Linked DNA regions of Oryctolagus cuniculus. The protein of the gene in region 1 interacts with the protein of each later gene in a pairwise test. Links are inferred from orthologs where the notes say so. Each region holds a gene or a part of one and is shown in the gene's direction. Other genes may lie near its edges. The genes, in order: SGTA, CSF1, PBXIP1, FERD3L, TMUB2, SPP1 and TMEM174.

Region 1 (3,500 bases):
CAGGGGTCTCATGGGGCGAGCTGGGGGCGCCGCTCAGCCTCGTGCAGGGCAGGGGCCCCGCCCCCATTCCAGAAAGGCCAGGCCGCCGGACCGCCCACGCCTCGCAAGGCCAGGGACGGCGAGGGGGACCGGGGCCCCCGGGGCGCGGGCAGGGGGCAGCCAGCGACCAGGGCCCGTCTCTCCAAGGTGGGGGCAGGAGAGGCCTGGGGCGCGGTGGGGGTGGGCGGTGTTCCGGCAGGGGGTGGCGAGCGCAGAGGCGCGGAGGCTCACCCGAGGGGGGAGGCGGCCTCTTGGTTTTCTGACCCCCGGGACCCCCTCATGGCTCAGGTGAGGGGCAGGGAGCAGCCCCCCGCGCAGGCGCACACCCCCCGGATGGTGCTGGCCCCCCCATGGCTCAGGTGAGAGGCAGGGAGCAGCCCCCCGCGCAGGCGCACACCCCCCGATGGTGCTGGCCCCCCCATGGCTCAGGTGAGGGGCAGGAAGCAGCCCCCCGCGCAGGCGCACACCCCCGGATGGTGCTGGCCCCTGTGTCCGGAGCGCTGAGGTGGGCCCCACAGCGTCCATCGAGGTCCTCGTTTGTCTGCGGGGCGCCGGCCAACTGCTCAGGGGCCCGGCCCCCGACTGTGCCGAGATGGGGCGGAAGCCCCCAGCCTCCCCCAAGCTCCCACCCCCGGGTGGCGGGGAGGGAATTCGATTTCCCAGGACACAGTGGGACGTGGCCTCCTGCCCTCCGCTCCCCTGCCGTCGCCACGCCCCTTCCCGCCTGCGGCCGCCTCCGCCCGTGGACGCCCACAGCACGCAGCCCTGTGTCCGGCCGTACCTCTCGGGCCGCCTGGGCGAGCGCGCGTTCCCTGGGAGAAGCGAGAGCCACTCCCGACCAGCCCAGCGACCACGCGGGACCTGCTGCTGTGTCCCCCGCCACAGGCTGCGCCACCACCCTGCACAGGTGCACGGCGCCCGTAGCCGCTGTGGCACAGCCCCCTGCACGCCGCGGCTTCAGTGGTCGGGGGATGGGGCAGCCGCTGCCCAGGTCCTAGGCCGAGGGCGGCCGCGTCCCCGGCCTGCCCCAGCTGCCGTGGCGGCTGGCGTCCTCGGCGCTCCTTAGCGCTGGACCAGTCCCCCCAGCTCCCTGTCTGTCCCGCGTGCAAAGCTTCGGGTCTTACGGGGCCCGCCCTGGCGACCCAGCCCAGGCAGCCCCTGACGGCACCCGGCACTCGGGGAGGGGCCTGTGAGCGTCCGGCACCCCTCCCGAGGCCGCGTCCTGGCTCGGGGACTCCGGCCCTCCTGGGTGCCGGCCGGGGTGTCCTCCTGCGTCACTTTCATCTGTCGGTGGCCGGACAGCAGAGGCCGGGACTCACTCGGCCCCACCCGTGTGCCCAGCACCGCGCCTCTCCCACTCCCCCCTCAGCCTGGGCCCCCAGGGCACGGTCATAGCGAGAAAGGTCACCCAGCCCTGTGGGCAAGGGCCAGGGAGTGGCCTCTGGGAAGGTGGCCGCCAGCCCAGCCGCGGGGAGCTGGCGGGAGGACAGGAGAGGCGGGACACGGCTGCCGGCCGGCCCCGTGTCCCGTGGACGCCCCGTTCTGCGCTGCACCCGTCACTCGGGGAGTGCGTCGGCTCCTGTCTGAGAGCTCGGCCCGGGCCGCACCTCGCTGTGTGGGCTGGCACAGCGTCCAGCGGCTCCCGGACGGTGTCCAGGGGTCGATGGAGGCTCGGGGGGGGGCAGAGTGGGCCTGGACGCCCCCCCTGCGGGCTGCTCCCTCGCTCGCCTCTCCCCTGCAGAAGCGCGTGTGGCACCGGTGGCCGCAGACGGGGCTGAAGCCCACGGGCTCCCCAGGAGGGGGGGTGGGGCACCGCCCCCAGGTGCTGGGTGAGGGGGGGACGCGGGAACTGGGGGCTGGGGCGGCCGCCGGGGCGTAGGACCAGGTCCCCGGCCCGGGCGCTCCCTGCCCCTCCCGCCGCCTCGCGCTCCGGACGCCCGGGGCTCCCCTGGCCTCGGCTGGGAAGTGGGCGGATCCCCGCACTGGCCCCTCCCCGCGGGGGCGGGATTGGCCGCAGCGCTCTGAGCGGCTGCCCGGCAGCTGGGCCCCGGACTCACGCCCTGCGCTCGGACCCGCAGACGCTGGAAGCCGTCCGGCGTCCCCGTCTCGAGATGGACACCAAGAAGCGCCTGGCCTACGCCATCATCCAGTTCCTGCACGAGCAGCTGCGGCACGGCGGGCTCTCGTCCGACGCCCAGGAGAGCTTGGAAGGTGCCCGCCGCCCTCCCGCCCCGCCCCGCCCCGGCGCTCACCCACGCGGACGCCCGTGCCCCCTGCAGGGGCACCCACGCCCCCGGCCCCTCCAGCCGGGGCCGGCTGCTCCCGCCGGCACCAGAGGCGCTCTCCGTGGGGTTTGCATGGCCGGCCCTGGGGCTGTCTGCCCGCTGGGCAGCGCGGTGTGGGCACAGCAGTGGGACGGAAGTGGCCCCCCGCCAGGCCCCTCGTGGAGGAGGCCGGGGCGGACAGTGCCCGCGGGATGCCCCTGACTGCCGAGTGCGCTGGGCGGGCCGGGTGGGGGTTCTGGCGCGGACCCGTCCTGAGCTGGATCCAGCACCCCCCCCCCCCCGCCGTGTGCGGCAGGGCCGAGCCCCCACACCGGGAGCCCCAAGTCACCACTGTGTCCTTGCTGTGCCCACCGCCCTCGGTGCCCTGGGCCCGTGTCCCGCCTGGGGTTGATGGGAGCTGGGGGACCCCCACCCGTCCTTTGTGAAAAAAAGCCAAAGCCGCGGCAGCAAAGCAGGCCCCGCCCAGGCATGCGGTCAGCGAGGCCTCTGTCCCCACAGTCGCCATCCAGTGCCTGGAGACGGCTTTCGGGGTCACGGTGGACGACAGCGACCTGGCGCTGCCCCAGACCCTGCCGGAAATCTTTGAAGCGGCCGCCACCGGCAAGGTGAGCCCGGGGCCACCCGGCCCCCATTCCCCAGCCTCAGAACAGCGGCAGGGGGCGCGGTGGGCTCTCCCTGGGCAGGAGAGGGGCGGGGGAGGGTGTGCGCCCTGACCTGGTCCGGGCAGCAGGGGGCGCCGTGGGCTCTCCCTGGGCGGGGAGGGTGTGCGCCCTGACCTCAGCCGGGCAGCAGGGGGCGCTGTGGCTCTCCCTGGGCGGGGAGGGTGTGCGCCCTGACCTGGTCCGGGCAGCAGGGGGCGCCGTGGGCTCTCCCTGGGCGGGGAGGGTGTGCGCCCTGACCTCAGCCGGGCAGCAGGGGGCGCCGTGGCTCTCCCTGGGCGGGGAGGGTGTGCGCCCTGACCTCTGCCGGGCAGCAGGGGGCGCCGTGGGCTCTCCCTGGGCGGGGAGGGTGTGCGCCCTGACCTCTGCCGGGCAGCAGGGGGCGCCGTGGGCTCTCCCTGGGCGGGGAGGGTGTGCGCCCTGACCTCTGCCGGGCAGCAGGGGGCGCCGTGGGCTCTCCCTGGGCGGGGAGGGTGTGCGCCCTGACCTCTGCCGGGCAGCAGGGGGCGCCGTGGGC
Region 2 (3,500 bases), on another chromosome or scaffold:
CCATATGTCTGCATGTGGGGGCACCAAGAAGGCTCATGCTGGCGGCTGTGGGATTAAAGAGTGGGAAAGGGACCCTCTCAGGAATCCTCTTAGCATGGAAGACTGGCTGGCCATGTGGGGGCTCCGAGGAGAGAGCAGACACCCACCTAGGAGTCAGGGCCTCTGCTCCAGGAGTGTGCTATGAATCGCCAGCATGCCCTGGTTCCAGAAGTCCCCAGGATGCCTTGGGTGTCCCTTCAATGGCCAAGACTGGATTTGAAGTCTGAACATCAGTCAAACCTTCTCAGTGCTGGCTCAGCTGCATACATGTGTGCCCTGCGTGTCCTCGTCTCTGCATCCTACATTCAACCTTGCTCCCCAAGGCAGGGGCTGAGGCCCTGCCATCTATCAACAGCCAAGTCCAGTCTCCCTGCTTCAATGCCAAGGCCACAAGCCTTGGCCAATTCCAGGCCCAGACCATCCCCGCCTGTGGTTGTACTGTGTGGCTTCAGGCTGTGCATGAATCAGTGTCTTTGGGGCTTGAGGATGTCTTAATCTCCTGTCCTGGCTGCTGCTCACCCTGGCTTGGCCTCTGGCCAGCAGGCACCCCAGGGCCAACTGTCTCTGTTCTTTCTCACCCCAACCCTGGGCTGTGTCTTTAAACCCTGCTCTCTGCTTTCCCCGGTGAGACCCTGCACATTGCACCTTCCCTGCCTGAGCCCCATGTCATGGGCACCTGCTGCAGTCCTGTCCTCTCCTCAGCCCCCAGGCTGAGGTAGGAGGTGAGGGAACCCCGATCCCATGTGGCCCTCTCCGCCCCCTCTGGGAAAGCTGAGCTGGAGGCTGGTGACTCTATCTCCTCCCCGTCTTTCTCCCTGTCTCTGTGGTTCTTTCAGATGTGGTGACCAAGCCTGATTGCAACTGCCTGTACCCCAAAGCCACCCCTAACAGTGACCTGGCCTCCCCTCGCCAGCCCCTTGACCCCTCTACAGCCCCCATGGCTGGCTTGGCCTGGGCCGACGCTGAGGGGACACAGGGCAACCCCCTCTTGCCCGGTGAGCAGGCCCCTGGCACAGTGGACCCAGGCAGCGCCAAGCAGCGACCACCCAGGAGCACCTGCCAGAGCCTTGAGTCGCCAGAGACCACCGGCGTGGAGGACAGCCCCCCAGGCCGCTCCTTGCAGCCTCGCCCTGCCGTCGGGGCCCCCACACCTGGGGTGGAGGCCATTCTGGACCCTGCCATGGACACTCTCTGGGCCCTGGAAGAGGCCTCTGGAAACACTGGCGAGGGCCCTGTCCCTGGGCCGGAAGGGGACAGCGTCCAGGCCGAGGGCGCCAGACCCAGCAACCTCCTGACAGCGTCTTCAGCACTTGCTGCGCCAGCAGAGGCTGCGACCGGCACCGCCCCACCCAGGGTGGGCTCAGTGAGGCCCCAGGGCCTGGTTTGGAGCCACAGCCCTGAGAAGACCCACAGGCCACCTGCCCTGCCTCCAAACCACCAGAAGCCAGGCTCTCTCGGGGCCTTGCTGCGACGCCTCCAGGGCCCCAGCCAGTTCACCGTGCCCGCCACTCAGCCAAGGCTTCCCAGGAGCCACCCATGGGCTGGCTTAGCACTCCGCAGGGAGCTGGAGGGCAGAAGGAGCACCAGGGACCGGAGGAGCCTGAGAGAGCTGGATGGTGCAGAGCGTGCAAGCGAGGGGGCTGCCCAGGCCCTAGCTCCTTTTAATTCCCTTCCTTTGACTGACACAGGCCATGAGAGGCAGCACACAGGACCCTCTGACCCCCTGCTGCCCGGCTTTGCCTTCCGCCTGCTGGTGCCCAGCATCATCCTGGTCTTGTTGGCCGTTGGGGGTCTCCTGTTCTACAGGCGGAGGCGGCGGGTAAGAGCCCCAGGAGGGAGGGGGCCTCTGGCAGGGCAGCTTCGGTTGGGCCCGGGTTCTGAGGGCTGAGATGCAGGGCTCACTGGGTGCAGAGGATGGCAGGTTGCAGTGGAAGTTGCTTTCAGAATCAGGAAGGCCTAGGCCGTAAGGTCAGCGGGCAGGGGCTGGGGTAGAAGGGAGTGGGAGAGAAGGCTGTTGGGCCCGCAGTGGGGTGACAGGCAGATTGCAGTTGGGGGAGAGGGGTAAAGGAGAAGAGTGAGGGAGCTTGGCAGAGCTGGAGTGAGAGGACACAGCCTGCATGGGAGAAGCAAGCGGGAACATCAGCAGAGAGGCCCTAGGAACTGCCTCACCCTCCAGCTGATCCCAGCTGACTGCTGGGGAGCGGGGGCCAGGGAGGGGGGTGGAGGCGGTGGCGGGATGCTGGCAGCTCTCTCCTAAACACACGGGGCAGCACTGCCTGGGCTGGAGCGCCAGTCCCTCCCCCTCCCAGCAACTCAGCCTGCTGTCTCCTGTCCCCAGAGCCATCAAGAGAGTCCAGCCACGGATTCTCCCATGGCGCCGCCAGAGGGCAGGTGAGAACTGGGGGCTGGCCTGGGATCCTCCGCCCCTCTGGAGGAAGGCGGGGTGGGGGGTGTCTCCCACTTGCTCTGAGGACGTGGGGCTGCAGGCAGCAGGGTGGAGAGGAGGAAAGGCATCCTCTCTTTTCTAGACATCGGGGCTTCTCCCCAGCTCTTCCTGGAGTTAGGCAGCTGTGGATCCTCTAAGCCTGAGAGGGCTAGAGTATGTGTGTATGTTTGGCGGGGAGCGGGCTTAGGGGTCCCCTCACTCCCCTGCTCCTACTGAAGTCTTACGCCGTCCCTGTGCTCTGCCTGCAGCCTCCTGACCCAGAATGAGGACAGACAGGTGGACTTGCCAGTGTAGAGGGAGTTTTGTAAAGGTAAGATTCTGATCTTCATCTCTTTCCACCCCTTAAAATGAGCTCCACCCTCTTCCAGTCGCTCTCACCTGTTGGTGACACCACCAACTTCCCGGAGGCCCAGATGCTTGCCTCTCCCCTTGCCCACCCATTCCTGGTTCCAGCCAAGCCTCTCCTTTCTGAGTTCTCCAATCTCCCCCCAAGACCCACGCAGGCTGGGTCTTGCTACCTCTGCACTGGGAGTCTGGTCTGACAGCCACCTTCATTCCCAGAGCAACCAAAATCCTTTTCCTCTAGTCGCAGCTTTTATGAAGGCCTTCAGCCTCCTGGGAATTCTTAGCAGCCCTGCATGGCCAGCCACTTCCAACTGGACTTCCTGGCCTGTCCAGTAGCTGCCCTCGGAGTGCACTTCTTGGCAGATGGTTCCCTCAGTCACCCCACCCCCCACCTCAGCCATTCTCAGCTCCCTGCTCTTAGAATCATGGTGCCACAGAACTTGAGTGTTAGATGGACTCTCAGAGGTCGTTTGGTCCAGCAACCCACTCCAAAGGGGCCAGCCCTCTCTGCATTCCTGACCAGGAGTCAGCCAGCTTCCTGCCACGTATTCCCACTCCCAAGCAAGCCCCCTGCTAACCACAGCCCATGCACCTTTAGACGATGCTGGGAAAAAGGCTTTCCTCCCACAGGGCAGAACAGGTTTCTCCAGCCCGCACTCATCCCATGCTC
Region 3 (4,289 bases), on another chromosome or scaffold:
CCTGATGCCCCCTTCCCCAGGAAGGTGGGCACTCGAGATGGAAACGTCCCCTGGTGATAGGCCCAGTGGAGCAGTCACCCTTCTGGGGAAAGGGGAACAAATCACACCTCGGGTCTACCCCTGGGCTTCAGGGAGTCACAGACCACTCTCAGCCTTCCCCCCAGCGTTTAACTTTGTGCCTTTGACCATCTCCTAGGTCTGACGATATTTAATGCAAAGAAGTTTTCGGGCCCCTGAGTTAAGGACAGGGGTGCTGACGCCGTCTTGGCTCCCAGGACCCTGTCCTCCTTGCTCAGCAGCCTCTCCAGTTTGGGTTGGGAGAACAGAAGCAGTAGTGGCAGCTGTCCCCTCTCCCTGGGGAGGTGCAACCCTTAGAGATTGCCCCAGAGCCCCCCTCCCGGCCAGGGGGGAGATGGACCCCCTCCCTTGCTCAGTGCCTCCTGGCCGGGACCCCTCTCCCCAAGGGGTCTGTATATACATTTCATACGCCCCGCCCCTCCCATGTTGCATGCATGTTATACTCTACAGCCAAAGTGTAGCTCTTCCTCCTGTATCCCGGCTCTGCCTCTCCCTTCCCAGGGTGTGAACTGGAGCCTCCTGTACAGTTCACTCTCCCAGGAGGGTTCTGTGGAGGCGGGAACAAGGGCACTGAGACTCGAAAGCATTAGACAATCCCAAATACCATCTGTCGATTTGGAACCGCGCTCATTTTTACTTTGTATGCACATATTTTATGGCTGTAGGTTTACTTTCCTAATTTTGTTCTCCATGGCTTGTTCTTGAACACAAAATGATGATGATCAACTACATCCACACATCACCTCTTTGACTTTTCCAAGCCCTCTCACCACTATTGGCATTTTCCTCACCGGGCCTGCAAAGGAACTCGGACTGGCAGCATTATTATTATTTTTACAAAAGAGACCAGAGGCAGAAACGGATTTTGAGCCAGGACTAGAACTTGGACCTCTTACCGCAGGCTGGGAGGCAGGCGTTTGGCTGGCTGTGTCGATTTCACGAAGGGGGAACTTAAAGCCCACAGGTCCCCCAGTACCTTCTACACGCGGGGCCCTGTGCTAGGCCCACTGCAGCCACAACCACAGAAGAGGCCAGTCCTGCTCTTTAGGCCTGTGGGGAAGGGAAAGCTGACAATTTTAATCCTAGCCACCACCTCCTTTCGTGTGTTTGGATGTTTTCACGGGTCTCACTTATACCAAAGGGAAATAATCTTCATTAAAATCCGTATTTCTTCTACTTCGCCTTCTTAGCCACTCTTGCAAGCCCATTGTTCGCGCGGAGCCTCCGCGGCAGGAGGGGAGGCTCCAGGTCGCCGCTGGCCCCACCTGGCCTCACTTGGGGCCCGGCGCCGCCCGCTGGGCCCTGGGCGCCGGCCGACTTAGTGCCCGGTGGGCGTGGAGACCGATTGTCCCCGGGGGATGCGGCTGCGGAGGGGCCTGGTGCAGGCGGGGCGGGGCGGGGCAGGGTCCGAGGCCAGCCGGCGGCTGCCGGTGCCTCCTGGGCACGCGCCCCTCGGCCCGCAATGGTACGGTCCGGTCGCAGGGGCTGGCGGGCGGCGTCCCGCGGTGAGCTGGGGCCGGCCGCTCCCTAGAGGGCGACGGCTGTCTCCACTAGGGCCGCCCCGTGGTCCTCTCTCCCCTCTTCCTGCGTTTTGAGGCGCCGAGTCTCCCAGTCCTTGCTTCCCCTCCCCGCCGCGCTCGGTGGTGGCGGCCGAGCGGAGTTCCGGTTCCGGTCGCTGCTGCTGCCGCGGGCGGGCGGCGAGTCTGGAGCGGGCTCGCAGTTCGTGCTCCAGCTCGGCGCCTCCCCCTCGCCGCACCTTGGGGCTGCAGCAGCTCGGGGGCCTGTGCTGCCCCGACTCCCCTTCCGGGGGATGGTGCAGCCTGAGGGCGCCTCCATCCCCCGCCGCCGCTGATCCCCGGCCCCCACTCCATGGCCGCCTCGGCGCCGCCCCCACCGGACAAGCTGGAGGGAGGTGGCGGCCCCGCACCGCCCCCTGCGCCGCCCAGCACCGGGAGGAAGCAGGGCAAGGCCGGTGAGAGTGCTGAGACGGGGCGGGGGCTGGAGAGACCTGGGACTTGGGAACCTTGGAGGGGAGGGTGGGGTTGGTCCCAAAGGCTGAGAGCGGGGAGGGCTTGAAGGGACGCTCAGGTGAAAAGGATGGGTCGGTGTAGCGCTCCGGGGTTGGGGGCAGGTGTGACAGATTGAGGACTTTCAAGGGTGTGGAGCCACGTGGAATCCAGTCAGGTGGAGTCTGATAGTGTCAACAGATAGGGTGTCTGCTTTCGAGAAAGGCATAGCTGACAGTAGGGCCCCACTCAGGACACGTTTTTCATATGACACTCCTTTGTTAGTATTCGCGAAATAAATGTGTGTTGAAGTTGACCGAGTTCTTGGAGCAGGGCTGGGAGGAGGAGGTTGGAGAAACTCGTCTGCCTTTTGCTGCTCTTCCAGGTCTGCAAATGAAGAGCCCAGAAAAGAAACGCAGGAAGTCCAATACTCAGGTGAATGTTGGCTGGTGGTGGGCGTGATTGCCAGGAGCCCCTGGCGCTGTCCGCTCTGTATTGCGTCAGGTGCAGGGAGAAGGAAGGCGGTGGGTTCTGTTTCTGGTCCTCGCCCTCAACTTCCTAACAAACGTAGGGGATAATCCTTCCCCACGAGAGCCCCTTACCCAAGAGCTGGTCGGGCAGGGTTGCAGCCTTCTTTTTCCCCCATTTTTCCTGTCCTGGCTCCTTCAAGACAGCGTAGCAGGTAACCACCTAGCGAACCTTTTCTAAGTGCCAGACGTTGTGCCGAGGGGCCTGAATGGTTTGGGGGAGCTGGGCACTGTCCTTGTATCACGGAGAGCTTTGGGGTCAGAGCTGGGACTTCAGCGTGGTCCTCCCTGTTTTTCAAAGGCGTTCCTGACTGCGCTGTTCTGCCCTGCTCCCTCTGTTTCTATGTTGCATTCTGAGGTCCGTCTTGGTCTTGGCACTGGCTGGCCGGTGTCTGCCTCCAGAACGCTGCGGCGTCTGTGGTGTTCTGCCCACGTGTGTTTGGCTCCGTGTCAGGCCCCTGTGACCCTCTTTCCCTCATCTGTTCCTCCCTAGGGCCCTGCATACTCACATCTGACGGAGTTTGCGCCACCCCCAACTCCCATGGTGGATCACCTGGTTGCATCCAACCCTTTTGAGGATGACTTCGGGGCCCCTAAGGTGGGGGCCACAGCCCCTCCGTTCCTTGGCAGTCCTGTGCCCTTTGGAGGCTTCCGCGTACAGGGGGCCATGGCGGGCCAGGTACCCCCAGGCTACGGCACTGGAGGTGGAGGGGGTCCCCAGCCACTTCGGCGACAGCCTCCCCCTTTCCCTCCCAACCCTATGGGCCCTGCTTTCAACATGCCCCCCCAGGGCCCTGGTTACCCACCACCAGGCAACATGAACTTTCCCAGCCAACCCTTCAGCCAGCCTCTGGGTCAAAACTTCAGCCCTCCTGGTGGGCAGATGATGCCAGGCCCCGTGGGGGGATTTGGCCCCATGATCTCGCCCACCATGGGACAGCCTCCCAGAGGGGAGCTGGGTCCTCCTTCCCTCCCGCAACGCTTTGCCCAGCCAGGGGCGCCTTTTGGCCCTTCTCCGCTCCAGAGACCAGGTCAGGGACTCCCTAGCCTGCCCCCCAACACAAGTCCCTTCCCTGGCCCGGACCCTGGTTTTCCTGGATCTGGTGGTGAGGACGGGGGGAAGCCCTTGAATCCACCTGCTCCCACTGCTTTTCCCCAGGAGCCCCACTCGGGCTCCCCTGCTGCTGCTGTCAACGGGAATCAGCCCAGCTTCCCACCAAACAGCAGCGGCCGGGGTGGGGGTACTCCAGATGCTAACAGCCTGGCACCCCCTGGCAAGGCAGGTGGGGGCTCAGGGCCCCAGCCTGCCCCAGGCCTGGTATACCCGTGTGGTGCCTGTCGGAGCGAGGTGAACGACGACCAAGATGCCATTCTGTGTGAGGCGTCCTGCCAGAAGTGGTTCCACCGCGAGTGCACGGGCATGACTGAGAGCGCCTACGGGCTGCTGACCACTGAGGCCTCTGCCGTCTGGGCCTGCGATCTCTGCCTCAAGACCAAGGAGATCCAGTCTGTCTACATCCGCGAGGGCATGGGGCAGCTGGTGGCTGCTAACGATGGGTGACTGCCCGGTGGTCTGGGGAAGTGCACACGTCCCTCCCTGCTCTTCCAGGGTGATTGTTTCGTGTCTGGCTCTTGGTCCTTGTTTCCGCTGGTTTCCCATCCCCGTGGAGCAGAAGCA
Region 4 (3,765 bases), about 48 Mb from region 1:
TGGGATATAAACACGAGCAGGAGGAGAGAAAAATCTATGAAGATCAAGGAGAACCCGGCCAGAAATGGGTTAAAAAATAATTATGTGAGAGCATACTGCTTTGAATATACCCAGAGACACAAGGGAGAAGGACAGGAATGGGGCTTACCTGTTATAAATAAGCAGTTTCTGGGAGCTGTCCAATGTACTGAGTGAACCCTCAGGGCCAAAACTCACCTCCTCATGGGGAGCAACGTCCCTGGTGTTTCTCCCTTGAACCAGGATGTGTCTAAACTCACCTCCTAGGACGCTTTCTTCTAAGCCACATTTACAGTTGCTTTCTAACATCTCACTTCACCTCACCAGGAATTTGAAAAATCCTCTGCCGTGAGTACCAAACCATAGCTATTGGCAAAGAAGGAAAAAGGAACACATCTTTGTTAAAATATTAGGAATCGGGCCCCTATTGGGACACCTCATCCTCACATCAAAGTGCCTGAGTCCGAGTTCCACCTCCTGTGGGAAGCAGCAGGTGATGGTTCCAGTAGTTGGATCCTTGTCATCCTTGTCTCTCATGTGGGAGACATGGATTGACTTCTTGGTTCCCAGGGAGTGAAGCAGTGAATGGGATCTCTCTCTCTTTCTCTCTCTCTCTCTCTCTCTAGCTCTAGCTCTCTCTATCTCTATCGCTCTATCTCTCTCTATATCTCTTGATCTATCTATCTATCTCCCACCTCTGTCCCTCTCAATTAAATACATAAATATTTTAAGTTGATATAAAATCAGTAAAATGTCCTTTTCATGACATAAACTTTTTAATCTCAAAAATTATCTAACAATACCAAAAATATCACCCCGCAGGAGAATTCAACAAGGTATGGTTCCTGCTCTAAAGTTCTGTAGAGGAACTTCTTGTAGGAATATACAAGCCAATGAGGAAAAGAAGGCAGATGGAAGTCTCCGGATTTGCCTTTGTGCAAACACTCAATCAGCAACTTAAAAGTGCAGAGACTGGCTTATCAAGGATCATGTGTGAAAGGAGACTGGAGAAATTCTCCTTGGGGAAAGGGCTTGCTTTTGTCCTACACGCCGGCCGTTCTACAGCAAAATCCCTCACGGAGCAACCGCTGGGATCTTCCATTTCTCACGTTAGTGCCCAACCTCACTTTTCCCCTGGGAATAAAAATCCTCCACTTTACGGGAGCAGGAGATAAGGGAAAGGAAAGTCAAGTATCTCCATTGTCGGGCTGGGGGCGTCCAAACATCGGTGACCGGGCAGGAGGGGGAAAGGACCCGGGTTCCAGGAGCGACCCCGGGGAATGCGCTCCTGCCCCCTGCCATGCTTACTTAAGCTAATGTAAGGGCTTGCCTTTCAGCCGCGGCGGCGCTGGGATACGGGACAAACAGCTCCCCGGGAGCCCCCGGCGGCCTGGGCCCCTCTTCAGGACATCATTAAAAGCGCATGCCATTTGCTTCCCCTCCCCTGGTAGACGGTGGCAAGGTTCGGGTCTCCAGCCCTGAAGTCTAGGAGAAGCCACTGCGGTGGAAAACATCCTCGCTTTGAAAACCCAGCCTGGAATTAAAGACCCGCACGAGGTGAGGAGTCTGGGGCGCATTTATCGGCTGTGGGGGGCGAGGACAGTTACAAAAGGCTCAGCAGGTAGAGAAAGAACTGTCCCGATTGGCGCCGCGCACAGGAGCCCAGCACCGGGGGGGGCCTGCGCCCTTGTGGTCGTCCACGTGTCCTCCAGCCTGTCTCCCTCCATCAGCTCCGAGGACAGCGACGTGGCCAGAGCCGGCCCCGTGAGCGCGACTAATCCTGTTCCCAAGCTTGCCTACAAAGAGGAACAGGCCCCCCGGGCCTTGGGCAAGGATGCCGGGCCCGACCCAAGGCCGTTAGGCAAGCCCCCTCCGCAGCCTCAAACTCCATGAGCCGCAGGGCCGCGTCCCAGCGATGGCGGGAGAGCTGTGTGGACGCCGCCGTGCTGGACTTCGTCGCGGACCTGTCCCTGGTCTCCCCGAGACGTCCTGTCCTCGGCGACCTCCCGCCGGAGGCGCCCCTCGGGGACCGAGGCCTTGCGCTCCGACAGGGAAGACCCAGAGGGCTGGCGCGGTTTGAAGAGGGGGATGCAGAAGAAGGGGACGAGGAGGAGGAGGAGGAAGAGGAAGAGGAGGAGGAGGAGGAAGAGGAAGAAGAAGAAGAGGGGCGCGGGAGAGGCGCCTCGCTGCTGGGCCGCCCCAGGAGGAAACGGGTGATCACCTACGCCCAGCGCCAGGCCGCCAACATCCGCGAGAGGAAGCGCATGTTCAACCTCAACGAGGCCTTCGACCAGCTGCGCAGGAAGGTGCCCACCTTTGCCTACGAGAAGAGGCTGTCCCGCATCGAGACCCTGCGCCTAGCCATCGTCTACATCTCCTTCATGACCGAGCTCTTGGCGAGCTGTGACAAGCAAACCGGCTGAGGCGGCCCGGGACTGGGGCTGGGGCTGCGGTGCCGGCCGGGTCCCCGCCAGGGCGCGCGCGGCTGGGGTGCGCCAGGGCCGGCCCCCGAGGGGTGCTTTGGAAAGGGGAGCAGGGCGGCCGCGAGGCTGGACGCGTGGCCCTCTCGGCCACGTGAGCTCCTTGTCAATCGCCCTGTGTTCTCGGCAAGAGAGCGGCTGTGGAGCTGATGCCCGCGCGGTCCCTCTCCGTGTGCCGGGCAGAGGCGAGAGCGGGGAGCGGTCTTGGCTCATCCGGTCCGCAGACTGCGGGGACTGGGCGCTGCTGTCGGGATCCCCTCTCTCCGCGTTGTCTTTTTAACGGTATTAGAAGTAGCAAACCAGAGAGAGTCTTGGCTTTGTTTTAAGCCTCAAGAATGGACGTTGTGCCCTCCCCACCCGCGCGCTCCTAGGAAAGGCTTGTAGCAGAGACCCGCGACCCCGTGCGGGATTTCCGGAGAGGCCAAGCGGCTCCAGCCCTCCTGCCCAGGGCTCCCAGGCCAGACCAGGGACTAAGAGGAGATGCAGAAAAAATGGGGAGAGTCCGAGGGGACTTGGTAACCAGAATGCCACGTCCGGGAAGGGACATCATCTCTCCAGTACTAGCTCGCTGGCTCTCTCTCCTGTCTCTCTCTTCTTCCCTCCTGGTCTCCCTCTCCCTTTCCATCTCCTCCTGCCCCCCCCCACTCTCTCCCTCCCCCCACACCACTGTGTCAGATTTCCAGAGCGGGAACCCAGGGCGGGCGCCCACTGAGATGGCCCCATTGGCACCGCCGCGCCCAGCAAGGCGGGAGCGCCCACTGTCCAGGGCCTTGCCTGAGTGGGACTTGCTCGCTGCGGGCCTGCCACGCCTCAGGCCGCCGAGGGCAGCTAGAGGCGCGCTGCGTGCCCCCGGGCCTGCGGGGAACTTCGGGCTTCGCCCGCCCGCGGCCACGCAGCACCTGGCCCCGGTTTCCCTGCGCGGCGGGGCCTGAGCACGTACCGGCCCGCCGTTTGCCGTAGGTGGGGACGGTAGCGTGGGCCCTCACGGCCTCTGAGGATTTCCACGGAAGGCGGAAGTCCGAGGCGGAGACGCACTCTGACGGCTTGCGGGACCCCAGCGCCCGCCGGGAAGTTCGAGCGGGTGGGTGCAGGTTGGACCTGGTGCGGCTCCACGAGCACCTGAAATGGGGTCTTTCAGAAAGCCGTGGTGGCAACCACAGGAGTGGGTGAAGCCCACCTAACCACAAATGCGGGAATCCGGAAAAAAAAAAAATCCGCAGGGCTTGCTCCGACGTGCGGGGGCCGGGCACCCGCTCTGCCGCGCACA
Region 5 (3,979 bases), on another chromosome or scaffold:
ATCAGAAGTAGAACAACTGAGAAACCAACAGGTACCCATTCGGATGCTGGCATCGCAGGTGGCAGCTTTACCTGCTATGTCAACACTGTATCCCTTCTCCTTTTGTTTTAAATATTTATTTTATCATTTTTTGAAAGGCAGAGCTAGGGAGACATCAAAAGATACATTTCATCTGCTGGTTCACTCCTCAAACAGACACAATGGCCAGGGCTGGCCCAGGCTGAAGCCAGGAGCCTGGAGCTTCTTCCGGGTCTCCCACGTGGGTGCAGGGGCCCAGGCACGTGGGCCGTCCTCCACTGCTTTCCCAGGCCATAGCGGAGAGCTGGATGGGACGTGGAGCAGCGGATGTTGGTGTCCCACTTGGTGGTTTAGCCCGCTGCGCCACGACCGGCCCCGGATTCCTTTTATATAAAGTGCAAAATCAGGAAAACTAACCTATGACGGACTTCAGTGGCTAGACGAGGTCTGAAGGGAGCTGGTTCTGGGGTCATTTCCTTTGCTGCTTCTGCAGGCTCGTTCTGGCCGAGAGTTCAGCCGGTGCAAACCACCGAGCCCTGCACTTAGGATTGCCCCGGCTGCATTATTTATACTTTAATCAACAGCTCATTAAAAACACAAACCCTTAGGTAAGTGCTGGGGAGCTGAGCTTTTTCTCCCGTCTCTCTGGCTCCTTTTCTCGTGCCCCGAGGCTGCGATGAATCCCTGCCTCTCTGAAACGCTTTCCCGCCGTATTTACCCAGGCTCCACGCCACCTGGAGCTGCCATCTTCGCGCACTGCCTAACCTGGCCCCTCCATCTGCCCTACCAGCCCAGAGCCGAGGAGGTCCTCACTGATTCCGGGGACTTGGAGCTCAGTCCGCGGCCCAGGGCGGTAAAGAATCCCTTCAGCCTGGGAGCCAGGGAGCAAGGCCTGAAGAAACAGGCCGCAGAGTGGGCGGCCTCTTTCAGGCTCCGGCCGGGGGAGCCAGCCTGGGCAAAGTTCCACGGCCACGAAGCCACGCCCCGCCCCGAGCACCTCCCCCCGGCCCCGCCTCTCACCCCGGTCGGCCTGAGGCCCCGCCCACCAGGCGTGGCCTTGAGCCCGGAGGGCCGCGATCCCGCCAACAATGACTCCGCCCCTTCTTCCGCTGAGAATCCTGTCCCTTTTATTTAAAGAATACGTTTACGTCAGCTCGCCTTACGTAGACGTGCGTCATCAGTGCAAGGCGCGGAGGCGGGACTTCCTATCTGTGGTTCTAACAGCTTCCGGGAGAAGCCGGAAGAGACTGGACTGTGGACCGAGTCGAGGATTGCCAGCCCCTCCCCCGGTCCCTACGGAAAGACGAGGCCAGGGGCCGTCCTGGAGAAGGTAAAACTATTTAGTCTGGACTTTTCAGGTGAGGACCTCCTTCCCCATCCGAGCACAGTACCAGTCCAAGCCCCCTTTAATTTTCCCATGACTCCTCGCGCCCTCAAGCCCCACCCCCGGTCCAGCAGCCCCGCCCCGAAGTTTGAGGGGTGTGGATGGTTTGTGACCCCCTCACCTGATCCTGCCCCTCGGGGCCTAGGAGAGCTGGGCTTGGGCGCCGTGACCGGAACCCGGCAGCCCCCGCGCCAGCGTTGCGGGAGCAGGACCGCCCAGACGCGGAGCCTGCGGCTCGGACAGACGGGGAGGCGGACCCTCCTCACTCAGCGCGCCGACGGGCTGAGAGGGCGAAGGCCCGGGGGGCGGGCGGGCTGGGGTCCCGGTGTCCAACCAGCCGTTTCGGTCGCTTCGCCGCCACCCTTTTCTGTAAAGCGCGGCTCATGCCATTACCGCGCCTGCCGTGAGGGCTTGGTCGGGGCAGTGGTAACCTGATGGCTGCCACTTGAACGGCTGCAATGTGCCGGGCAGCGCGCTAGGTAGTTTGCTTGGGTGATTTCACGTCATCTTCCAAACGACCGGCCGAGGTAGGTGCTATTTTTAACCCCGTTTTACCGAGGCTCTGAGAAAGTTGTCCGCCGCCAGGAAGAGGCAGGCGGGCGGGCGTTGTGATGGGTTGCTCTGTGTTTGCTTTCTCCCCGGCCGCAGGGGCAGGGCCGGCGTGGCGGGTGAGGCCGAGGTTGGTAGGTTCCCCAGGCGCGCAGTCCTCCTTGTCTCCTGGATCGGGTAGAGAGCCGGACAGCTAGAGCCGTGTGAGGAAGTTGCGCAGGTGCGGTGAGGACAGCCCGATGCTGGTGACCGCCGGCCTGGACTTGCCCAGGGGCGGCTGTGAGCGCAGCAGGTTCTCGGAGGAAGCGCGCAGGGTCAACGCCGCGGCCCAGGGAGAGCTGAGAGGGCCTGGGAGAGCCGGCGTGGAATCCTTCCCGAGGCGGTTCACCTGGGGAGTGCGTGTGGTGCTTGTGAGCCCCTGGTGGCCCCTCCGGTGGCCTCTGGGGAGGTGTGACTGCTTCGATGAGAGGTTCATTTTCCTTAGGTCTTGACAGCCGGGCCTGGATCTGCGACCGTGAGGGAGAAGGGGCTCAGATCTGCAAGGCTGGCCGCACAGGGCCTCCGAAGAGGCCTTAAGATAAAACTTTTCGGATTTCTTGGTTTCTCTACAGCTGCCTTGGAGGTTGCTTAGGGGACATACTTGCTTGACCGAGTGTTGGAAAGTCTAAGAACTGCGCTCAAAGAAGCGAATGTTTCTCCCCATTCACTAAAAAGTAGCAGCCGTGCAGGCGGGTGCTGTGGAGCCTGGGTATGCGGCCGCCAGTCGGACATCGCCGTCCTGTGTCGGAGCACGGGTCTGTGTCCCGGCTGCTCCGCTTCTGCTGCAGCTCCCTGCTAAGGGACCTGGGAAGCAGCGGAGGATGGCCCAGGACTTGAGTTCCGTATGGGAAACCTGGATGGAGTTCAGGCTCCTGGCTTTGGCCTGGCCCAGCCCCTGGCAGCTGCGGCCACGTGGGAAGTGACCCTGCAGATGGAGGACCTCTCTGCACTCTGCCTTTGAAATAAATGTTTCAGAACAGCAAACAGTGGCAGCAACGACACGCAGAGGAGGTCTTGCCGGGGATCTGCTGGTGGGGAGGTTGGAATGTGGGAGGAAGGGTGTGCAACCTGAGAGTTTCACAATCGTGGCAAAGGGTAAGGCCTTGGCTTTCAGTTTGGGGTCCAGAGTTAGGAAGCTTTGTGCCTCCCTTCTCCACTGAACTCCATTTGCAGTCAGGGCTGGGTCAGTGAAAGCCCAGACAAGCTAGAAACCTGGTCACAGCTCCTCGGGCTCCACTGATGCCGCCCCTCTTTGTTCTTGCAGCCCGGACCCCGTCGGCAGCCGGACCATGGAGCTCTCTGATGTCACCCTCATTGAGGGTGTGGGCAATGAGGTGATGGTGGTGGCCGGTGTGGTGGTGCTGATTCTCGCTTTGGTCCTAGCCTGGCTCTCTACCTATGTAGCAGACAGTGGCAGCAGCCAGCTCCTGGGCACTATCGTGTCAGCAGGCGATACATCTGTCCTCCACCTGGGGCACGTGGACCACCTGGTAGCAGGCCAAGGAGCCCCAGAGCCCAGCGAACTCCCCCCTCCATCAGAGGGTAATGATGAGAAGGCTGAAGAGGCCGGCGAAGGTGGGGGACACGCCACAGGGGAGTCGGGGGCTGGAGGCGGTGCCGAGCCCAGCCTGGAGCATCTCTTGGACATCCAAGGCCTGCCCAAGAGACAAGCAGGCAGAGAGGGCAGCGGGCCTGAGGCCCCCCTGCGCTCCGAGGCTAGCACCTGCATCCCTGCCAGCCCCGGCCTCATCCATGTGCGGCTCAAATTCCTCAATGACACCGAGGAGCTGGCTGTGGCCAGGCCCGAGGACACTGTGGGTGCTCTGAAGAGGTGAGTGGGCTGGAAAGCGGGAGGCTCCCAGCCCTTGGTGGGGGACGGTGGGGAGCAGCAGGGAGGCGTGAGGCACAGCCCCTACCAAGGGTGGGGGGCATGCTTCCTTCAGTTCCCTGGCCGCCCTCCCACCCCTCACCTTTGTCTTTCCTTCCGTG
Region 6 (4,040 bases), on another chromosome or scaffold:
GTCTAGCTGTCAAGCTCACATCCGACACTGGAGCACCAGCTCTGGCTCCTGATGCCAGCTTCCCATCAGTGCAGACCCCGAGAGGCAGCAGAGAGGGCTCCAGCAACTGGGCTCCTGCCACCCACGTGGGAAACTTGGATTGTTGTCCTGGCTCCTGGCTTCAGCCTCAGCCCAGTCTTGGTCATTGCAGGCATTTGTAGAGTAAAGCAGCAAATGGGATCTCTCTCTCTCTCTCTCTCTCTCTCTCTCTGATAAATAAAAAATCTGTATTTTTCAATTGAAAAACACACTAGGGCGTTTGCCTCTAATGCATACCCAACATTGTTATTTGTACATATACTGACTCATGTAAACCTCTCAAAAGTTCCAGGAGCTGGGTTAACAGGGTCTGCATTTCACAGATGAGGAATACAGGTATAGATAGCCTAGTGATGTGTCCAAGGTCAGGCCAGCAACTCTAGACGGAGCAGGGTTCAAGGCCGCAGCGCGGCTCCTGAAGCAGCCCTCTCAGGCGGTCATCCTGCTCTCGGTCAGACACGGCCCTGACTGCTGCAGCATCCACCGTAAATCGCCGCTCACTCTCTTAGTTGATGCGGTTTTTATACGTATTTACCAGATTCATCACCTCTGAACAATTCAGACCGTGCAACAAAAATCCATGTCATTGAAAGGTCACTGCAAGTCTTCCAACGGAACGAGCATGAATAGGGACCTCAGTGTCACTAAGATCGTTCATCTAAATGACAAGCTGCTGCTGACTTGAAGTCACAAAACGGAGCTTGAGTAGAAAGGGACAGAGGGACGCTTCCTCTCGCTGGGCCTCGACAGTGGCCTTCAAGTTCTTCAGGAAACAGAACGGCAACTGTGGTTGCGGATATCACCTTCATCTATTACTTGGGGAAACAAAAGCCCTTTCTATTTCATTTCATTCCAGGCTGATTTACATGCGTATTTTTTCGCCTAACTCAGAAATTATAAATAAAATCTCTGTAAGAACTAGTTACTTTCCCTTTCTTTTAGGAGACCCCTAAGTGCTCTTCCAGGAGTCCGAATGCCATTCCAGTAAATGGCAAAGCCAGTTAACATTGTGCATAAGTGCGTGTGTGTGTGTGTGTGTGTGTGTGTGTCAATTTTGGTTTCTTTTGTTTTTTGTTTCTAACCACAAAACCAGAAGGGGAAGTGTGGGAGCAGGTGGGCTGGGCTGTGGCAAACAACCTCATGACACATCTCTCCGCCTCCCTGTGTTGCTGGAGGATGTTGGAGCAGCATTTAAATCCCGAGAGGCTCCGGCTGTCAGCAGCAGGAGGAGGCAGAGAGCGCAGCATCCTCTGGGACTGGACTCATCTCGGGCCAGTTGCAGCCTTCTCAGCCACACGCCGACCAAGGTAAGCCTGCAGCCTGCTCCGACTGTGTTGCTGTCCATACTTTCAGTTGAATTTCATGGGCAAGTTCAAGTTGTAAGGAAAATAGTTTAAGCTGTGATGCTGTAACAGTTAGACTGCAGTTTTTGTGTTGTTGTTGAATAAGCAGATCAGATATGTTACAAGTCTGGAACCAAAGTGCTCAGATATTTTGAAAGCCAAATGCAAAACTTAGAAACATACCTATTGAATTCTCCAAAGACCTGAAGCAACTGCTTCCAGTCAGAAAAAAGTAAAATTCTATGCCCCCTTGGAATGAGTGTGTGTCTTTTAAATGGCTGGATGACTGTGGAGGCATTAAATAAAGAATAATCTTTTGTGCTATTGTAAACCACTGATAATGCTATTTTTAAATGATTTGGTCTATCTCATTTTCAAGGAAAAAATCCTTTCTGCATATTTTACTTCTGTGTTTAGCTGTTAAAAATGTCAACAAGAAATTTTTTAAAACCTGTATGCTTTCACTATTTTCTTCTTCATTTCAAACTTCTAGACTACCTTACCTAAATAACTAACTTGAAAGATAGCTATAATTCAACTAAGCAGCAGCTTCTTAATAATTTGGGTGTAAGAATGTGTTTTAAATGCATGCTGGAGAAATGGGGACAGCAAATTTCTTTCATTTTTTTTTTGCCCTTTGTGTTTTTCTTCTCTGAATATTAGGTACTCCCATGCGTGCTTATTATTTTAATTAAATTTCTGTTGATAATGCTTTTAGGTTTAGATATCGAGTAGGGGTGATATAATCTCTGGAACTCTAAATTAAAAACTGAATAAAATGGAGACTTGTAAAATTCCCCTCTCACTTGTCTAACAGTGAAGTGGAAAATGGAAGTGACAAACATGAATTCCAAAGACCATGTTACAAACAGACGAGTTAGTCCAACAAGTAGAATACATTCAACAGAATGTTTTACTTGTGATTGTTGATTATTTTGTAATGTGGCAGATTTTTACATTTTAACCTATGAAGCTGTTCTTACAAAATATTTTGCAGGAACAATCACCACCATGAGAATCGCTGTGATTTGCTTTTGTCTCTTGGGCATGGCCTACGCCCTCCCGGTGAGTGCTGCTACTCTTACAGGAAATTCACAGGAATAAGTGAACTGGGTGCCTTCTTGTGCTAGAACACAATCCCGCAGTAACGTTGCTTCCTCTTTTCTGTTTGAAAGGTTAAACACGCTGATTCGGGCAGCTCCGAGGAAAAGCAGGTAAGCACCTTTGAAGTCTGTCATCTAGTGAGATTGGTCATGTATTCATTGCCAGGAGTAGCCAAACATCTTTGTTGCAATTTGACTTACCTTCATGGTCAAGCCCATTCATTTACAACCCTGCTAATTGACCTCTGTTATGAATCTAGACCCAACCTAAGCACAGTATAGTTTTTGATAAATGCGTGTTCTTAAAAGCAAGCTGGGCTTGTTTTAACATGATAAAATAATTATCTGGGTCATAATCACATGTGAAGTGAATTCCATGAAGTGGTGTGACTTTCTTTCCATGAGTCAACCTGCTTTTCTAGAAGCAGAAAATTCCATCCTTTGCTTTACTTAGGGGAAAGCTATGTTTGAAATTCACCTTGGCTATGGCTCAGGACTGTTGTCTGACCACAATATCGCCTAAGAAATTTGTAGGACGCCCATTGTGCAAAGAAGGTCTACTTGTGCTGTTTGTATCTATTGTGCTCGTCAGCTGACTTTAGATCACATTTTTCAAACCAAGCATAAGACCAAACCAAACTATTATAATGATTTGACCAACACCCTAGAGGTACCTGCCCCTCCACAATAGATGAAGCTGTGCCAGCCACACAACAAATGGGCCTTGTTCTGAGAAGCTTGGACAAAAAGGCACACAGAGTTCAATTCCAGATGAATAGAATAGAGGCCAATGCAGAGTTGCCTAGGGTCACGGCCATTAGACTGCTTAATGAAGACATGAAGAGAGGTGCTCTGTGTGTGTGTGTGTGTGTGTGTGTGTGTGGCTGTGCATGTGTGTACATGTGTCTGTTGATTTGCGAACACAGATAGAATCACAATAACAAAGTAGAAAAGCTAACATCTCCAAAGAAGGTACAAGCCATACTATTCAAGGAAAGAACTGGTGCCTTTTAAAACAGAATAAAATCTGGCAAGGGTACATTGATGAAAGGCACATAGGCCATGACATTATGTCACTAAAGTCATGTACCATTGCTAGGAGAAATTCTCTCTCTTGCTCTCTCTCCCCTAGCATATTATAGTTATTTTCTAGACAAATAAGTCTCTGGCGGCTTAGAAAAATAGAATTCTTGTGCAACAATGTTGATATATTTTGTACTGTCTGATAAGACAGCCACTGGACACACATGGCTACTGAGCACTCAGAATGTGACTATGGCACCGCATTGGCCTGGTGGTTAAGATGCTGGGTAAAGACTCCATGTTCCATCTCAGAGTGCCTGAGTTTAATGCCCCATCCCAGCTTCTGATTCCAACTTAACGGCTTATACAGACCCTGGTAGGTGGCAATGATGGCTCAAGGGATTGGATCCCTGCCACTCTTGAGAGAGCTGAATTGGGTTCCATTCCCTGGCCGGCACTGCAGCTCACTAGGCTAATACTCCGCCCTGCGGCG
Region 7 (3,671 bases), on another chromosome or scaffold:
CATCCTCCACTGCACTCCCTGGCCACAGCAGAGAGCTGGCCTGGAAGAGGGACAACCGGGACAGAATCCGGCGCCCCAACCGGGACTAGAACCTGGTGTGCGGGCGCTGCTAGGCGGAGGATTAGCCTAGTGAGCCGCGGCGCCGGCCTCCAGGTGATATTTATCATCAAGGGACACTTAAGAAGCCCTGCCTTGGGGCAAGAGTGCAGCTTTCTCAACTCTGCTGAAAGAAGCTGAGAGATGTCTGTGTGGACAGACAAGGAAAGGGAGCGGGCTACAGTCACCACCAGGGAGAGGAGGAAACACAGGCTCTTTGGAACTTTTGGCGTTCAACATTGTGCATTGTCATGGATCAAGCTACTTCTCTAAATCAGCTTGGGTTTGGTTGCAAAATGCAGCAGGCTCAAAGTCACAGCTGTTGGATTTGCTGCCTAAGTGGCCACCCTGACGGGAGCGTCTGCAGCACCTGTCCCTGCCACGTCACGTCCCTCCTGCTGCCGACTCAGTCTCTGCCAGGGATGTGCAGCATGGACAGGTTTCCAATGGCATCCTTCCTTTCCCAGGGCTGAAATGACTCCCCAAGTTCAGAAAAAAAAAGGCAGGTCAAGAAGGAGCAGGACCCCAGAACTGTGTGAGCATAGTTGCTAACGTTGAAGTATTGCTGCGGTTTGAGTGTGTTCCCCTAAAGGTCAAGTCCTGAACACTGTATCCCCCGATTCGTATGTTGGAGGTCATTAGGGTCAGATGAGGTCAAGAGGCAGGGCCCTGATGACCTTAGCGGCTGTCCAAGAAGAGGAAGAGACCTGAGCTGGCCCACTCAGCCTGTCTCCCCATGGCATGATCTCTGCCGCGGGGTACTGGAGTTCTCAGCCTCCAGATCGGTGAATTTATCTGCCCTAGAAATCATACAGTTAGCGGTCTTCTGTCCAGCACTGGAAACAGACGAAGACAAGTGTCATTGTCACCATCATCCTAGCTGCCTCAGGAACCCACACGCGGTCCGAGCCCACACGGCTGTCCGTCCCGACTCCTCCTGGGCTGACCAGCAGGACAAACAGAACGTGGCCGAGTTAGCTCAGGCACTCCCACAGGCCTGGTTCCGGTAGTACGGAGCCAGCGGGAGCAGTGTTTACAAGGTTGTTGGCAGGGCACCTGACCATGCATTTTTTAAAATGAGTGAGCGAATGAAGTGAATCGGAGACGTGGCTTGTCCCTGACCTGCCCATCACAGCCCTCTGCTTGTGGGCAATTTATGAGGAAACTTCAGGCTCCACTTCCCAGACCTTTATCCTTCCAAACGAAGTCCAGCCCTGGGCATGTTATACTCTGTTAACCACCACAGCCCAAAGTTCTTCCAGCCTCAGTCTGAACCTGGGACTCGCGGGCTCTCACGGCCCCGTCCCCCTAAGGAGCGGCCCTTGAGCGCAGAGTCATGGAGCCGGGTGGCGGGCGCCTGGAGGACTTCCCTCTCAACGTGTTTGCCGTCACCCCTTACACCCCCAGTACTGCCGACATCCAGGTGTCCGACGACGACAAGGCGGGGGCCACCTTGCTCTTCTCGGGCATCTTCCTGGGACTGGTGGGCATCACGTTCACCATCATGGGTTGGATCAAATACCAAGGCGTCTCGCATTTTGAATGGACCCAGCTCCTGGGGCCCATCCTGCTGTCAGTCGGGGTCACGTTCATCCTGATCGCTGTGTGCAAGTTCAAGATGCTCTCCTGCCAGCTGTGCAAAGAAAACGAGGAAAGGGCCCTGGACTCGGAGCAGACTCCAGGAGGACAATCGTTCGTCTTCACCGGCATCAACCAACCCATCACCTTCCACGGGGCCACCGTGGTGCAGTACATCCCTCCTCCTTACGCACCTCAGGAGCCCCTGGGGATGACCGCCCCGTACCTGCAGCCCGGAGCGAGCCCCTGTGGTCTCCTACCCACTGCGGGGGTAGTGGCTGCGGCGCCGAGTCCTCCCCAGTACTATAGCATCTACCCACAAGGCAATGCCGCGTTTGTGGGTGATGAAGACTGGCCGTGTGTCGTGGATGGTAGCAGTGACAGGTACAGCGTGTGGGCTGGGGATGTTCCCCTTTGCAGCTGGTGGTGACCTCTGGCTGCGTTGCTCTCGGATTGAGAGGGCTTGTGGTTGACTCTGCAGCCTGATGCCCAGGAGGGTGGCTTTGTGTTGGGCATAGGTTCGGGCTGTGATGCATCTATGCTTCCTGTTCCTGTTTCAGGTCCAGCTGTGACGCTCCGCGGCCAGAGGAGTCCCAGCTGCCCGAGGGGGACTGTGCCCGCTTCTCTCCCCCGCCCTACGAGGAGATATACTCCCTCCCACGCTAGAGACGGCTGTGCATGGGGACCGGGGTCGCACGTGGGTCCTTGCTACCTGGCAGCTGCAATGTTCTATGCAGCCTTCAGAAGTCAGATGGCAGAGCGGCCTGACAGAGGTCACAGGGCAGTAAAAATTAGGCTGGGCTGGGGAAATCCCCTTGGGTAAAAGAATCGCCCATGGAAGGCTCAGGAGCAGCTGTTCCACCTGCTTGTCCATCACCCAGTCTCTTCCCTATTTGAAGACCTCTGGGTATCCATGTAAGCTTCGACGGCCAAGGGAGAAATCGCAACCTCTGAGATCTGGGGAGTTTCCACAGCTGGGAAGGGGGAGGGGTGACAGGAGGACAGCTCAGGTTTCTGGTGCCCTTCACTGGTCCCAAGGCGGACTTGGTGGCCCAAATGACACTGCTGCCACCTGGTCTCTCCTGGAGACCCTGGGCATCTTAAAGGTTGCAAAATAAGTAAATACAACGGAATAAAATAAAATACCGTCTTCTGTAAGACAAGTATTGGACGGCTGGCTAAATCATATGAAAGGAATAATAGTAGGATATGATGGGAATAAATCCTGAAGGTGTCACTGCTCCCAGTGACTCCTGGCTGCTGCTGTTCTCTTTGGTGGAGTTGAACCTTGAAGCGTGATGTGCATGAGGGGCTCTTAGCCCACTCTGGTCAGGGGCGGGGCCGGGCATGAGCTCACCACGCCCAGGGCAGCACAGAACACATGCACCTGTCTAGGCACTCGGAGATCTCAACCGCTGGAAAATCATGAATTGTGGAAGCAACCTTTGTGGCTAAGGTCAAGCTTACTTTCTTAATAAAAAAAAATACTTGGATGTTCTTCAGCTCCTTGACTGTGAATTATGTACAGAGCAAGTAGGGGCAGGCGTTTGACCCAGCGGGCCCAGATGCCCGTGGGGAGGCTTGCATCCCATAGCAGAGTGCCCGGGTCACCGTGCCAGCTCTGTCTTGATTCCAGCTTCCCTGCCAGTGGGCACCCTGGGAGGCAGCAGGTGATGGCTCAAGTGCTTGGGTCCCTGCCACCCTCATGGGAGACCCAGACTGAGTTCTCAGGCCTCGGCTCTGGGGAGTGAACCAGCTCATAGGAGATCTCTATGTCTGTCACTCTCTTTGTCTCAGAAATAAATTTTAAAAAAGAGACAGTTTAAAACTATAGATTTTAAAAGATAATGTTTTCCTAGACATGGAAGTAAGGGACTCCAGGTAGGGGTGAATCATCCCAAAAGAAGACCCAGGATTTAGCAATTCTTCAAAGTTTTGGTACCATGTTTGTGGGCACGATGGTTTTTACTTTTATCGTATCTGTTTTCCAAGGGTTG

Evidence for each region.
Region 2: the proteins of SGTA (region 1) and CSF1 interact in binary tests that used the Homo sapiens proteins (3 or more experiments, as listed by UniProt). The two-hybrid records come from large-scale screens. The link is inferred for Oryctolagus cuniculus from reciprocal best matches to the Homo sapiens genes SGTA and CSF1.
Region 3: the proteins of SGTA (region 1) and PBXIP1 interact in binary tests that used the Homo sapiens proteins (3 or more experiments, as listed by UniProt). The two-hybrid records come from large-scale screens. The link is inferred for Oryctolagus cuniculus from reciprocal best matches to the Homo sapiens genes SGTA and PBXIP1.
Region 4: the proteins of SGTA (region 1) and FERD3L interact in binary tests that used the Homo sapiens proteins (3 or more experiments, as listed by UniProt). The two-hybrid records come from large-scale screens. The link is inferred for Oryctolagus cuniculus from reciprocal best matches to the Homo sapiens genes SGTA and FERD3L.
Region 5: the proteins of SGTA (region 1) and TMUB2 interact in binary tests that used the Homo sapiens proteins (3 or more experiments, as listed by UniProt). The two-hybrid records come from large-scale screens. The link is inferred for Oryctolagus cuniculus from reciprocal best matches to the Homo sapiens genes SGTA and TMUB2.
Region 6: the proteins of SGTA (region 1) and SPP1 interact in binary tests that used the Homo sapiens proteins (3 or more experiments, as listed by UniProt). The link is inferred for Oryctolagus cuniculus from reciprocal best matches to the Homo sapiens genes SGTA and SPP1.
Region 7: the proteins of SGTA (region 1) and TMEM174 interact in binary tests that used the Homo sapiens proteins (3 or more experiments, as listed by UniProt). The two-hybrid records come from large-scale screens. The link is inferred for Oryctolagus cuniculus from reciprocal best matches to the Homo sapiens genes SGTA and TMEM174.

Annotation. Positions count from the first base shown.
Region 1 is NC_091447.1:59,203,368-59,206,867, reverse strand, and holds part of SGTA (small glutamine-rich tetratricopeptide repeat-containing protein alpha), read left to right. Parts: intron 1-2,117; 5' UTR 2,118-2,150; coding exon 2,151-2,250; intron 2,251-2,822; coding exon 2,823-2,929; intron 2,930-3,500. UniProt on the Homo sapiens protein: Co-chaperone that binds misfolded and hydrophobic patches-containing client proteins in the cytosol. Mediates their targeting to the endoplasmic reticulum but also regulates their sorting to the proteasome when targeting fails.
Region 2 is NC_091438.1:60,416,248-60,419,747, reverse strand, and holds part of CSF1 (macrophage colony-stimulating factor 1), read left to right. Parts: intron 1-875; coding exon 876-1,858; intron 1,859-2,377; coding exon 2,378-2,430; intron 2,431-2,733; coding exon 2,734-2,779; 3' UTR 2,780-2,795; intron 2,796-3,500. UniProt on the Homo sapiens protein: Cytokine that plays an essential role in the regulation of survival, proliferation and differentiation of hematopoietic precursor cells, especially mononuclear phagocytes, such as macrophages and monocytes.
Region 3 is NC_091438.1:43,546,239-43,550,527, forward strand, and holds the start of PBXIP1 (pre-B-cell leukemia transcription factor-interacting protein 1), read left to right. Parts: upstream 1-1,489; 5' UTR 1,490-1,947; coding exon 1,948-2,050; intron 2,051-2,469; coding exon 2,470-2,519; intron 2,520-3,104; coding exon 3,105-3,209; intron 3,210-4,289. UniProt on the Homo sapiens protein: Regulator of pre-B-cell leukemia transcription factors (BPXs) function. Inhibits the binding of PBX1-HOX complex to DNA and blocks the transcriptional activity of E2A-PBX1.
Region 4 is NC_091447.1:11,278,299-11,282,063, reverse strand, and holds FERD3L (fer3-like protein), read left to right. Parts: upstream 1-1,380; 5' UTR 1,381-1,907; coding exon 1,908-2,441; 3' UTR 2,442-3,265; downstream 3,266-3,765. UniProt on the Homo sapiens protein: Transcription factor that binds to the E-box and functions as inhibitor of transcription. DNA binding requires dimerization with an E protein. Inhibits transcription activation by ASCL1/MASH1 by sequestering E proteins.
Region 5 is NC_091448.1:19,069,291-19,073,269, reverse strand, and holds the start of TMUB2 (transmembrane and ubiquitin-like domain-containing protein 2), read left to right. Parts: upstream 1-1,179; 5' UTR 1,180-1,348; exon of another isoform or gene 1,349-1,376; intron 1,377-1,466; exon of another isoform or gene 1,467-1,929; intron 1,930-3,254; 5' UTR 3,255-3,279; coding exon 3,280-3,821; intron 3,822-3,979.
Region 6 is NC_091439.1:77,729,253-77,733,292, reverse strand, and holds the start of SPP1 (osteopontin), read left to right. Parts: upstream 1-1,240; 5' UTR 1,241-1,385; intron 1,386-2,418; 5' UTR 2,419-2,432; coding exon 2,433-2,486; intron 2,487-2,596; coding exon 2,597-2,635; intron 2,636-4,040. UniProt on the Homo sapiens protein: Major non-collagenous bone protein that binds tightly to hydroxyapatite. Appears to form an integral part of the mineralized matrix. Probably important to cell-matrix interaction.
Region 7 is NC_091445.1:37,817,312-37,820,982, reverse strand, and holds TMEM174 (transmembrane protein 174), read left to right. Parts: upstream 1-1,333; 5' UTR 1,334-1,432; coding exon 1,433-2,058; intron 2,059-2,234; coding exon 2,235-2,340; 3' UTR 2,341-3,171; downstream 3,172-3,671. UniProt on the Homo sapiens protein: Regulator of plasma phosphate homeostasis. Decreases serum inorganic phosphate (Pi) uptake by regulating the sodium-phosphate cotransporter SLC34A1 trafficking by PTH and FGF23 in the kidney.